Schizosaccharomyces pombe: one gene and its partner. The protein of the gene in region 1 purifies or fractionates together with the protein of each later gene. This does not show direct contact. Each region holds a gene or a part of one and is shown in the gene's direction. Other genes may lie near its edges.

The links. Proteins that work in one complex are often made in the same cells at the same time.
Region 2: the proteins of ell1 (region 1) and ebp1 purify together in Schizosaccharomyces pombe (affinity purification with western blotting; one study listed by BioGRID). This does not show direct contact.

Annotation. Positions count from the first base shown.
Region 1 is NC_003423.3:2,028,080-2,032,708, reverse strand, and holds ell1 (RNA polymerase II transcription elongation factor Ell1), read left to right. Parts: upstream 1-1,568; 5' UTR 1,569-1,673; coding exon 1,674-1,838; intron 1,839-1,913; coding exon 1,914-2,122; intron 2,123-2,222; coding exon 2,223-3,450; 3' UTR 3,451-4,099; downstream 4,100-4,629. Other genes in the region: origin recognition complex subunit Orc4, read right to left, coding at 4,248-4,629.
Region 2 is NC_003424.3:3,275,992-3,280,597, reverse strand, and holds ebp1 (protein Ebp1), read left to right. Parts: upstream 1-2,064; 5' UTR 2,065-2,450; coding exon 2,451-3,947; 3' UTR 3,948-4,106; downstream 4,107-4,606. Other genes in the region: protein Xrc4, read left to right, coding at 613-733, 779-915, 1,059-1,178, 1,231-1,647; puf4 (RNA-binding protein), read right to left, coding at 4,368-4,606.

The DNA of each region.
Region 1 (4,629 bases):
CGTTCAATTCATTCAATCACTGCGAGGGTTTATCGGGTTAATCTTCTGTAAGGAATATCGGCTTTTATGGAGTTAAAAATTGGTATGAACATTTTCCATTTGCATAAGCGAAAAAAACACGAATGTTTGTTTATTGAAATCGTTCGCACGATAGTGGAAACCAAAACATATATGGCAAAAAGCCTACAGCACCCCGGATTCCCATGTTGTCTCCAACCATAGTACTAACGAGGCCCTCAGACGCTTAACTGCAGTGATCGGACGGGAACTGGTGTTTTCGCCTAGGTATGGCCGTAGACGTTTGTCAAAAAATTTAACAAGATATATAGTGTAAGAAAAGATAAGAGGTATTTTAAATTTTGTTAAAAGCTTCAACATGATTTTTGAAAGAATTTTCAATGAGCACAATAATAAAATAACTGGTAGTACTCGTTTAACTGTGTATATACAAAATATATTTACACAAAAATATATCCGGTCAGGGAGGGACTCGAACCCTCGACCTCACGATTAACAGTCGTGCGCAATAACCAACTATGCTACCCGACCTTGGATGTCTGTAGATATATTTTAAACATATATATCTTCTATGCTTTAAACCTAGTCATTACTTTTGTCTTAATACCAGTTATTCTGAATCATCAAGTATTTCGGAACTTTAGTTATACTATATTTGTATTAGTAACATGAATTTTAAAGGATAGATAATTCCACTCAGAAGAAGACTGTTTCTAGACTATAAATATATTCACTATGTAGTAAACATATGTAAAGATTCAATGAAAAACAAATGGTTCGTTATTCGATTTGAATTAAATGAAATTAACAAATTATCATAAAAACAATCTAAATAATTGCGTAGTTTGATAAACACGAATAACAGGACCAGCAAGTAAAATCAAAAAAAAATCTGTGGTTAATTAAACAGCTTTATATTGGCTCATTTAACCTGATAAATTAATGTACTAAAGACCTTTTTTTTGTTTGAAATTATAAATACCACAGTTCGTCAACAAAAGTGAATTCAATTATGGAATAATTGGCAAAATTTGTAAAGCATCATTGTTTTCAATTCAGTAGAGTTTTCAAGAAGTCATTGATTAAATAAGTCTAAAAGATTCACTAGTTCATCAATAAATTTCTGGTCCCGTAACCCTATTCCGCCGCTTAGAATTTCGAACCTAACGGAAATTTATTTTTTTAGAAAAATATGATTTACTTATATCTAGATAGTAAACTAAGGACGCAAGCTCAAATTTGTTCAGCATCGCTCCCTAATTCTCATTTTTCCACTGTTACTAAAAACTGAACTATGTAAACCAAAGTCCGATATTCATCTCAAAAAATAGTACACTGTCACATATGAGCTAAAAGGACATAAAAAGAAATATTTTTTTACACCAAAGCTGCAACTTGTTTCTTTGAATTTCGAATGTTTACATTATTCTTTCCATTTAGCGATACGCTGCTTATTCCTATTGTACACCACCAATATGTGCTACTTTTTGTTACTTAGCTCTAGCTAGGTTTCATACATAAGGTGCATCTTTATGTTAGTCCACCTTCTTATCCCTTTACCGTACTTACTGGCTTCTTAAACAAGCTTCTCCGTTGTGCCATCTAGCTAATATAATCATTTTGAGAGGCTTTTACTATCGATCTATTTGGGTTGAATGATTAGGAACAGTAGCATTTCTGATGCTCTACCTGTAGCATTAGGCGGAAATGAAGAAGAATCGCCTTTATTGATGCTGGTACAATTACCCAAAGAGTTTCTCGAAGGATATCTTTCAGGAACGATAACAGACGTGAGCTTGGAATGCAGTGATGTTGGTACTGTATGTGTGGGCATTTGTGAAGAGCGATAAAGAAGAATGAATTTTGAATGTTGCTAACCAATATACTTTTTTTAGTCAATATTAGCGAACGATAGGTCTTACAAATGCACTTCCGTTCCAGAAACTGCTCCGCATGAGATTTACAGACTGGTGGACTCGAATTCGTTACAACTGGTTGGCCGTGTCTCACAAAAGCTACAGCTTCGTAGAGAGCTCGACAGTTTAACTGCTGAGCGAGTGAAAAATCGTACGCAGGAAGCTCAAAAGGAAAAAGAAGAAAAAAGGTATGAAAAGAACGACAATAGTATCAACCAATTCTATGGATTGGAAGAAGTTACTTTCAATCTTTCTCTTTTCAAATTATGCTAATATTTGTAAAAATAGAATTGTTACCCTTCAAAATGATGGTGGTTCAAAAAATACAACTGCTAGGAAGCAAAAGCAGTTAAAAAAAAATGGACTCAGGCCTCTCAATACAAGTGCTTCACGAATTGGTCTTTCCTCTTCTCCCACAAATACACCTTCCCCAAACCTTCCCGTCTCGCAACCGTCTGCATCACCACATTATTCTGGTGATAAAAACTCGGCCAAAGGCATTGATCTTCGTACTCGTGTTATCCAACTTTTGGCAATCGCTCCCGAAACTGAAGATTTTCTTCGTTTAAGAACAAAGGCGTCACTTTCCAAATTACAAGCGTTATTACCAGAAGTCGCTTGGAAGAACAACATGAATCAATGGGAGCTCCTTAATCCTGTGTATAAAGATGTACGAGTCTTTGATTGGCGTCCTTATAGTATTGCAGACAGGAATGCCGTTCTAAGTCGTATGTCCAATGCATTCGACAACATGCAATTGCCTCCTGATGCTCCTGAACGTTCACTTTTAGTGTCAAAACAAAAAAACATTACTAAACTCAACAATGAAAAACGAATTCCTCCCCAATTGGCCCAACCCACTTCTCATGTTCCTTCATTCATTGACACTAACTCTCCTTCAATGCCTTCTATTTCCTCGGTTTCTTCTTATCAACAACAACACCGCATACCCAAGCTCAACGCTTCAAACTATTCTCCCTTGCTTTCCCCCTCCTCACACCGAAAAACATCGGGAAATCTTTCTCGTACTGGTTCAGAAAGCTCTGCCGTTTCATTAAGCGATACAACAAACTTAAATACTCCTATCTCCGACATTCCTTCACCTGGCTCTTCCACTACTTGCTCCAATCTTTCATCTCCACATATCAAACGAAAAAGTCGTTCTCCTCCGCAATCCTTGCCTTCCACCCCGTTTCCTACGTCTTCGTCTTCTACCAACGGCACTCTTGAACCCAATGCAAACTCTCCCAAGAAGAATGAACAAGATGCATGGATAGCTAAAAAGCGTCGTCAACAACGTTACACTACAGAAGAAATGCGAGCATTGGCAAAAAGATTTCGGGAAACTTATCCGCGTTATAAGAATTTATATTTAAAAGTCTCTTCATATTATGATAATAATGATACTAATAATCCTAATTTAAACAAGCTCCAAGATGAACTTATATCTCTACATTCTCAGCTCAAAAGCTGGAAAAATACACTTTACGATGCTTCCTCGGAGCTAGCCCTCTAACTTTTCTCAATAAATTTCCGGTTTTCTTAACACTCAGTTTTATTTCCAATGTTTTATAAAGGTGACGGTTATCTCAGCTTCAATTCAAAATTGTTTCAATACTGTACGGTGCCTACAACGAGTGCAGGCTGTTTTTTCCTGCTTTCGTTAAGGCTAGTGTTTCGTTTAAAAGATAAATTGGTTAAATTCATATTCAATTAGCAGTTTATTGAATATTAGTTTGTTTTTGATTTTATAATGAGAATCTTGTTATTGTGATGCTTTTTTTAAACTTTTATGACATATCTTTAAGTTAGTTAAACTGCGTGAATTCCTTATGTGCTATCACTTTTTTTTGGGCTTAAAAGTACCACTGATGAGTCCTTTCGTTTAATCTAATTTATTTTGTTTTTCTTACCACCTTTCATGAAATATTCCGCCAAAATTTTTTTTCTACATTAGTACAAAGTGACCCTGAAACAAAAACTATCATTAAAATGTTTAGGTATTCATTGATCCGTTGATTACTGATTTACCTTCATAAGTCATCTAATATAAATATTTGGAGACCAGCTTCTTTCACAGCTTAACCAGCGCTGATAGCAAAAAAGTAAATTCTATTTTCGTTTATCAGAAGCAAATATTTAATCAATTAAAATTAAAACTTTTATTTATCAAATATCGGTAATAACTACAATGTGTAATGGTATATAACCTTCAACACGGTCGTCCTTATTTTTGCCTTTCTTATATTGTTTTATTTAAAAAGGATACAAAGTTAATAAAATACAACAGAAACAAAAAAAATTGCAATTCTTTTATATAACCTCCTTAAGCCAGCGGTAATAATGCGATGGCAAACGTCGATGTTCACGCAAACCTACAGAAACTACATTGATATCCACTTCTGGCTGCCATAGTTGGCATTGTCTAGAAAGGGCACCACTAACATTAGTAGAAGGGTGAACCGGTATAATCAATCCTATAGACCCTAAAGTTTCCCATGCTTCCAAAGCAACATCCCTTCCCCATAATCGACTGCTATGAGCTAGAGCTCCCGATGCTGCGGCATTTATAACGGAAGATTGATGCAGTTGTCGATATTCTTGATAAGCACTATTAAAGTTGCAAGCTGGAATATCCCTAGCTTCAAAGCGAACTGCACAAATCAATAAAGCCAACTCCAACAAACTTAAATTC
Region 2 (4,606 bases), on another chromosome or scaffold:
CTCTAAAGCCTTGACAGAGCATAAACCTTTACATTTATGTAAAAACCTCAGTTTTATATCTCGATGTAGTTTTGAATCTCGAAGAGAAAAAATGATATTATAAACAAGGCCTTGTTAACCAACACATATTGATGAAAGCATTTTTTTTGAAATCACCTTAGTTTAATTGACTTTAAAAAACTTTCAATAACTTGTAGTAGTCATCATCTAATTGCATTGCGAATTTCTTCTTGCTAACTACTTTAATTTGAAATTCTTTTTTTTTAACAAACATGGTATAAACATTTGCGCTGATTCTTATCCAATATTCTCGTATGGAAACCTCTTATATTATACTAAACGATTTGTTATATCACCGAATCAGCAATTTTTCAATCAGAAAGATTCTTTTCTTTCAATGAAAAAAATCTAAAAAAAAAACAATTTTCAAGATAGTGTTTCTTAGTAACCTAAAATTTTAAACTCATTCGGCTTCCAATTTATCAGCTGCGCACACTAAAACATTAGCAGTCAACAAGTTGGATTATCAAGTTTCTTATTACGTTTCCCTGCAAACTTGCACTGAGACCGCCTTGATGTTTCACATCAAATTTTGAGCTCAGGAAACAACTCATGAAATTTTTTTTATCACTGAAAGATTTTAAAGGAGAAAAATTCGTCCTACGCTCAGAATTGGATGAAAGCAGTGCTTTCTTGTGCGCAATTAGCCCAACCTGTAGATACGTCTTAAGGGGTATAGAAAGATAGTGTGTAAAACGTTCTTTTACTAATTTTCCAGATGAAATACCTTGGAAACGATTGCAACGGAACGTAACCTCAGAATCATTAACCGATGAACTTATCGTGGATCTGTTGTGCGGCAGATCCGAATCAAAGCACACATTGCAATTAGTGGTTTTAGAGAATTTATGTAGGGTATGTTTATTGCAATACTGTAGTAGTTAATGAATTGCTGATTGTGTGATGACTTTCAAACCAAGGAATTTTTTTGTTCGTCGCATCTACCCCATTTTGCCAGTCGTTTTTGAGCTGATTAATTAAATATGCTAACAATTTAGATTTATATCAACTACGTTGATCCTTTCCCTTTACGTATTGCCTGGTTTGAATTAGAACAACAAGCATTGAAAGACCATGAACATTTTGATGTACTGTGGGAGTGCAGCCATTCGATAAAGGTATGAAAAAAACTTTACATTCTTTCTCTTTTGCTGATTATTTGAAATTTAGGACCTTGCCCTTGCTAGTATGGCTCAACAAAAAAACGAGCTTCAAAAGCTTATGGCTTATACAGAGCAACTTCAAGAAGAATGTAAGTCTAGGGAACGAAAGCTTATAATGAAATTTGCAGATATGATTAAAAATGCAAGAAATAACGAGGATAATGAAGACAACCACCATATTAATTATGAGGATGAATCTGATGTCGGGACAGACGAGCAAAAGCAGCAAGAGGGAGTCAATTCTTCCGCAGTCTCTGATACTGACGAATCTGCAGTTTCTGATGAATTTATGCAGATAAAAGAAGAATTTCCAATGAAAGCATTGAGCGCTTCACCAACTGCAGACGCTTCTCCCGAGTCAGCAGGTGAAGATGATTCACATAGGCGATCGTCCCACGAAAGTAGCGAAACAGTTTCTGAGTAGCTTCGGAAGGAATGATAATATGATACATTACGCTTCAAGTTAAACTACCCGAAATGCCTCTCCATTCTTACACTTTTTTCAGTATTCAGGTCAACTTTATTCTCTTTAATTTCAAAACAATAATAAATTTACTTAAATTTAAATATTCACACGGAATCCTACTATAGGTAAAGCACTTGCAAGATAAATACAATATGTATAGTTGGTGAATTTTTATAAAGATGTCTTATAAGCCTAGCACTTCCTTCCTGTACAAAAGAATGAAGCATGTTTGCGATCGTGTTTACCATGCTATTATTTTCTGATCCACTTTTTCTTCAGCAAATTTACTATTTACATATATAATTTGTTACTCAAGGTTGGGCGCGTTCTGAAGTAACGTGTTTATTACTTGTCGACAATACGCTTCATAATTTCACCAAAATCCTATAACCAAGCCTGTTGTAATTTTATACTGGGATTTAGGCTTGAATATTCTTTTTTGACGGCATTTAGCAATTTTTGGCTTTGGATAAATGAATGCTTAGCTGTGTGGGCAAACGGGTTTTCGCTATTGGAAACGCAGTTACTAATTTGAATTTGCTAACATTCATACTGTTTTTAAATTAAATGCTGTGAAGATTTCTTTTCTTAAACTTTTCATATCTTTTCGAGTTACATGCTATCGGTAATTGCGCTAATTGACGCGAATTCTTAATATAATAGGCATTATTTGTTGTCTTCTAATCGAAATCTTTTAATTCCATAGCATATCTCTTTTTTAAGTAAATACTTTTATTTGAATAGTTTATACAGCGCATGCGATGAGCAACGACAGCAGTGATAATCAAATTCGTCGTCGGCATCATCCAGTACTGCCTAAGGGTTCCTTTCAGAAAAAGGACGATTCTATCGTCTTAGAACAGGAATTATCTACTCCAAAACAAGTCAACCAAGCCCGTCCAAAGTTTCCATCTCCAATTACTCCTACTCTTCCTGAAATGCATCTTCCCGTAGGGAATTCAAAATTCCAAGCGGTATTGCCAAGCTTGATAAGCCCTACGCTTCCTCCTGGGTTTGGAATGGCAAGCGATGACTCTGAAGCATCGTTAGCAGAGAACGATTTACATCCCTTGGATAACGATTCTACACGTACTAGCAAAACGCTTAAAAATTCATCAGAGGTTTTAACCGCTTCCAAACTTACTGATGAAGGTAATTCTAAACCTTTGTTGGAGGAAGGGGAGGTAGCTGTCAGTTCTCCAATTCTCCTTGATTCAAAAGATGTAATAATGGGAGTCACTAAGAGCTCAAAAAATCTAGTTGAAGATGCTCACAAATCAAAGAAGGCCTCCACGAACAGTTCCATAAATAATATGGTATCTACTGTAAATTCTGAAAATTCTAATGTTAATAATGGATCCTCGTTGAATGGTAACACCAGCAGCAATCTCAAGAGAAAAGCCAATGTAACGTTAGGTGATTATAAGCGCTTAAAAGTAAAAAACAAGAATCCTTCTTCCCAAGAGCTGATCACAGCTGATGTTGACAAAACATCTGGTTCACTGTCTGAAAAGTCGGAAGTAAATCATGCCTCTTTGAAGAAAACGTATATGCGTCTTCTTAACAGTGGGAAAATGCAAAAGAAAGAATGTGATAAGAAAGGAAAATTTTTCGAAGCGTACGCTGTAGATGCTGTTTTATGTTACACAGTTGCTTTTCACCTACAGAATCTTTCCAATCTTTCGAGAAACCATCCCGCTACTACGAGTAACTGGAGAACCCTCCCTGCGTATATTCAGTTTCTCATAAAAGAAGAGGATAAACTGGATCCTTGTATTCAAGGACTATTTTTTCTTTTACTCGGGATTGCATTTCGTGAAATTTTTCATATCGAGGTTATGAGGATACGACACTCACAATTGAATCTTATGAGAGACATAAAAGAAAGCTCAAGTGGATTAACATCTGCCAAGTCCCTCGGTGATGCACAGAATTTATGTGAGAATGCGGTGCGCCTTTACTCTTCGTATAAACATTACATTACATCTATGAAGAAGGGAAGTTCGTTGTTGACAATTGAATATATCTCATCTACTGCACCAAATACTTTTAACGAATTTTTTGTCCAAAAAAAGGCAAATATCCCTTTGCCATTAGATATCGACGCTCCAATTGGTGTCACAATCAGGTTTAGTCACAATTTATTAAACGAATGGATTAAAAAGCAAGGAGATGTTTTTGAGTCAAAGCTTTTAAAAGAAGATATCGAAAATCTTCAATCTTTAGAAGAAAGCTACCCCATTGCCCAATATTTATAAATAATTGTATTAACTCCCATAACTTGAAAGATTTGAGTCGGTCTTCAATAACAGAATGTCATTCTTTCACTAATAAAGTTACTTAATGTATTTTGCTTTATCATGCCTTTGTGTTTATTTTCAAATATGTAGAATAATCGAATAGATATTGATTCCCACGCTAAGTAGAAGTAATAAACTAAAACGTTTAGAATGCATGAACTTCTTAAGTACCTAGTACTATTCTGAATTTATATGATACGTTCACTGTAAAGATTTAAAAAGTCGTAAAAAAGTTCGAGGCTAGACTTAATTGTCTTTTAATACTAGATATACAAAGAAAGGCGATAAGCCTTTATACTCATGGTAATAAATAAAGAGCGATTTCAACAATGCGAGAGTCCTCCTTAATAATATGCAAATTACAGACGATAGAAACGTTTAAGCTGAAGAGGAAGTATTAACTCTTTCAGAATTACTGTACACAATAGGCTTTTCTTTCGAGCTCGGATGACGACGTTCTAACTTTGAAAGAATGCGACGACCACAGGGCGTATTCTTTATGCTTGGAATAAGTGGTTTAATCCGTTCAACCAACTCTGCGCGTTGCTTTACACTCGCATTATCAAGTGCCGTTTGAATAACATAATTAGCGAAAGAATCACGAAGTAACTTGGGAA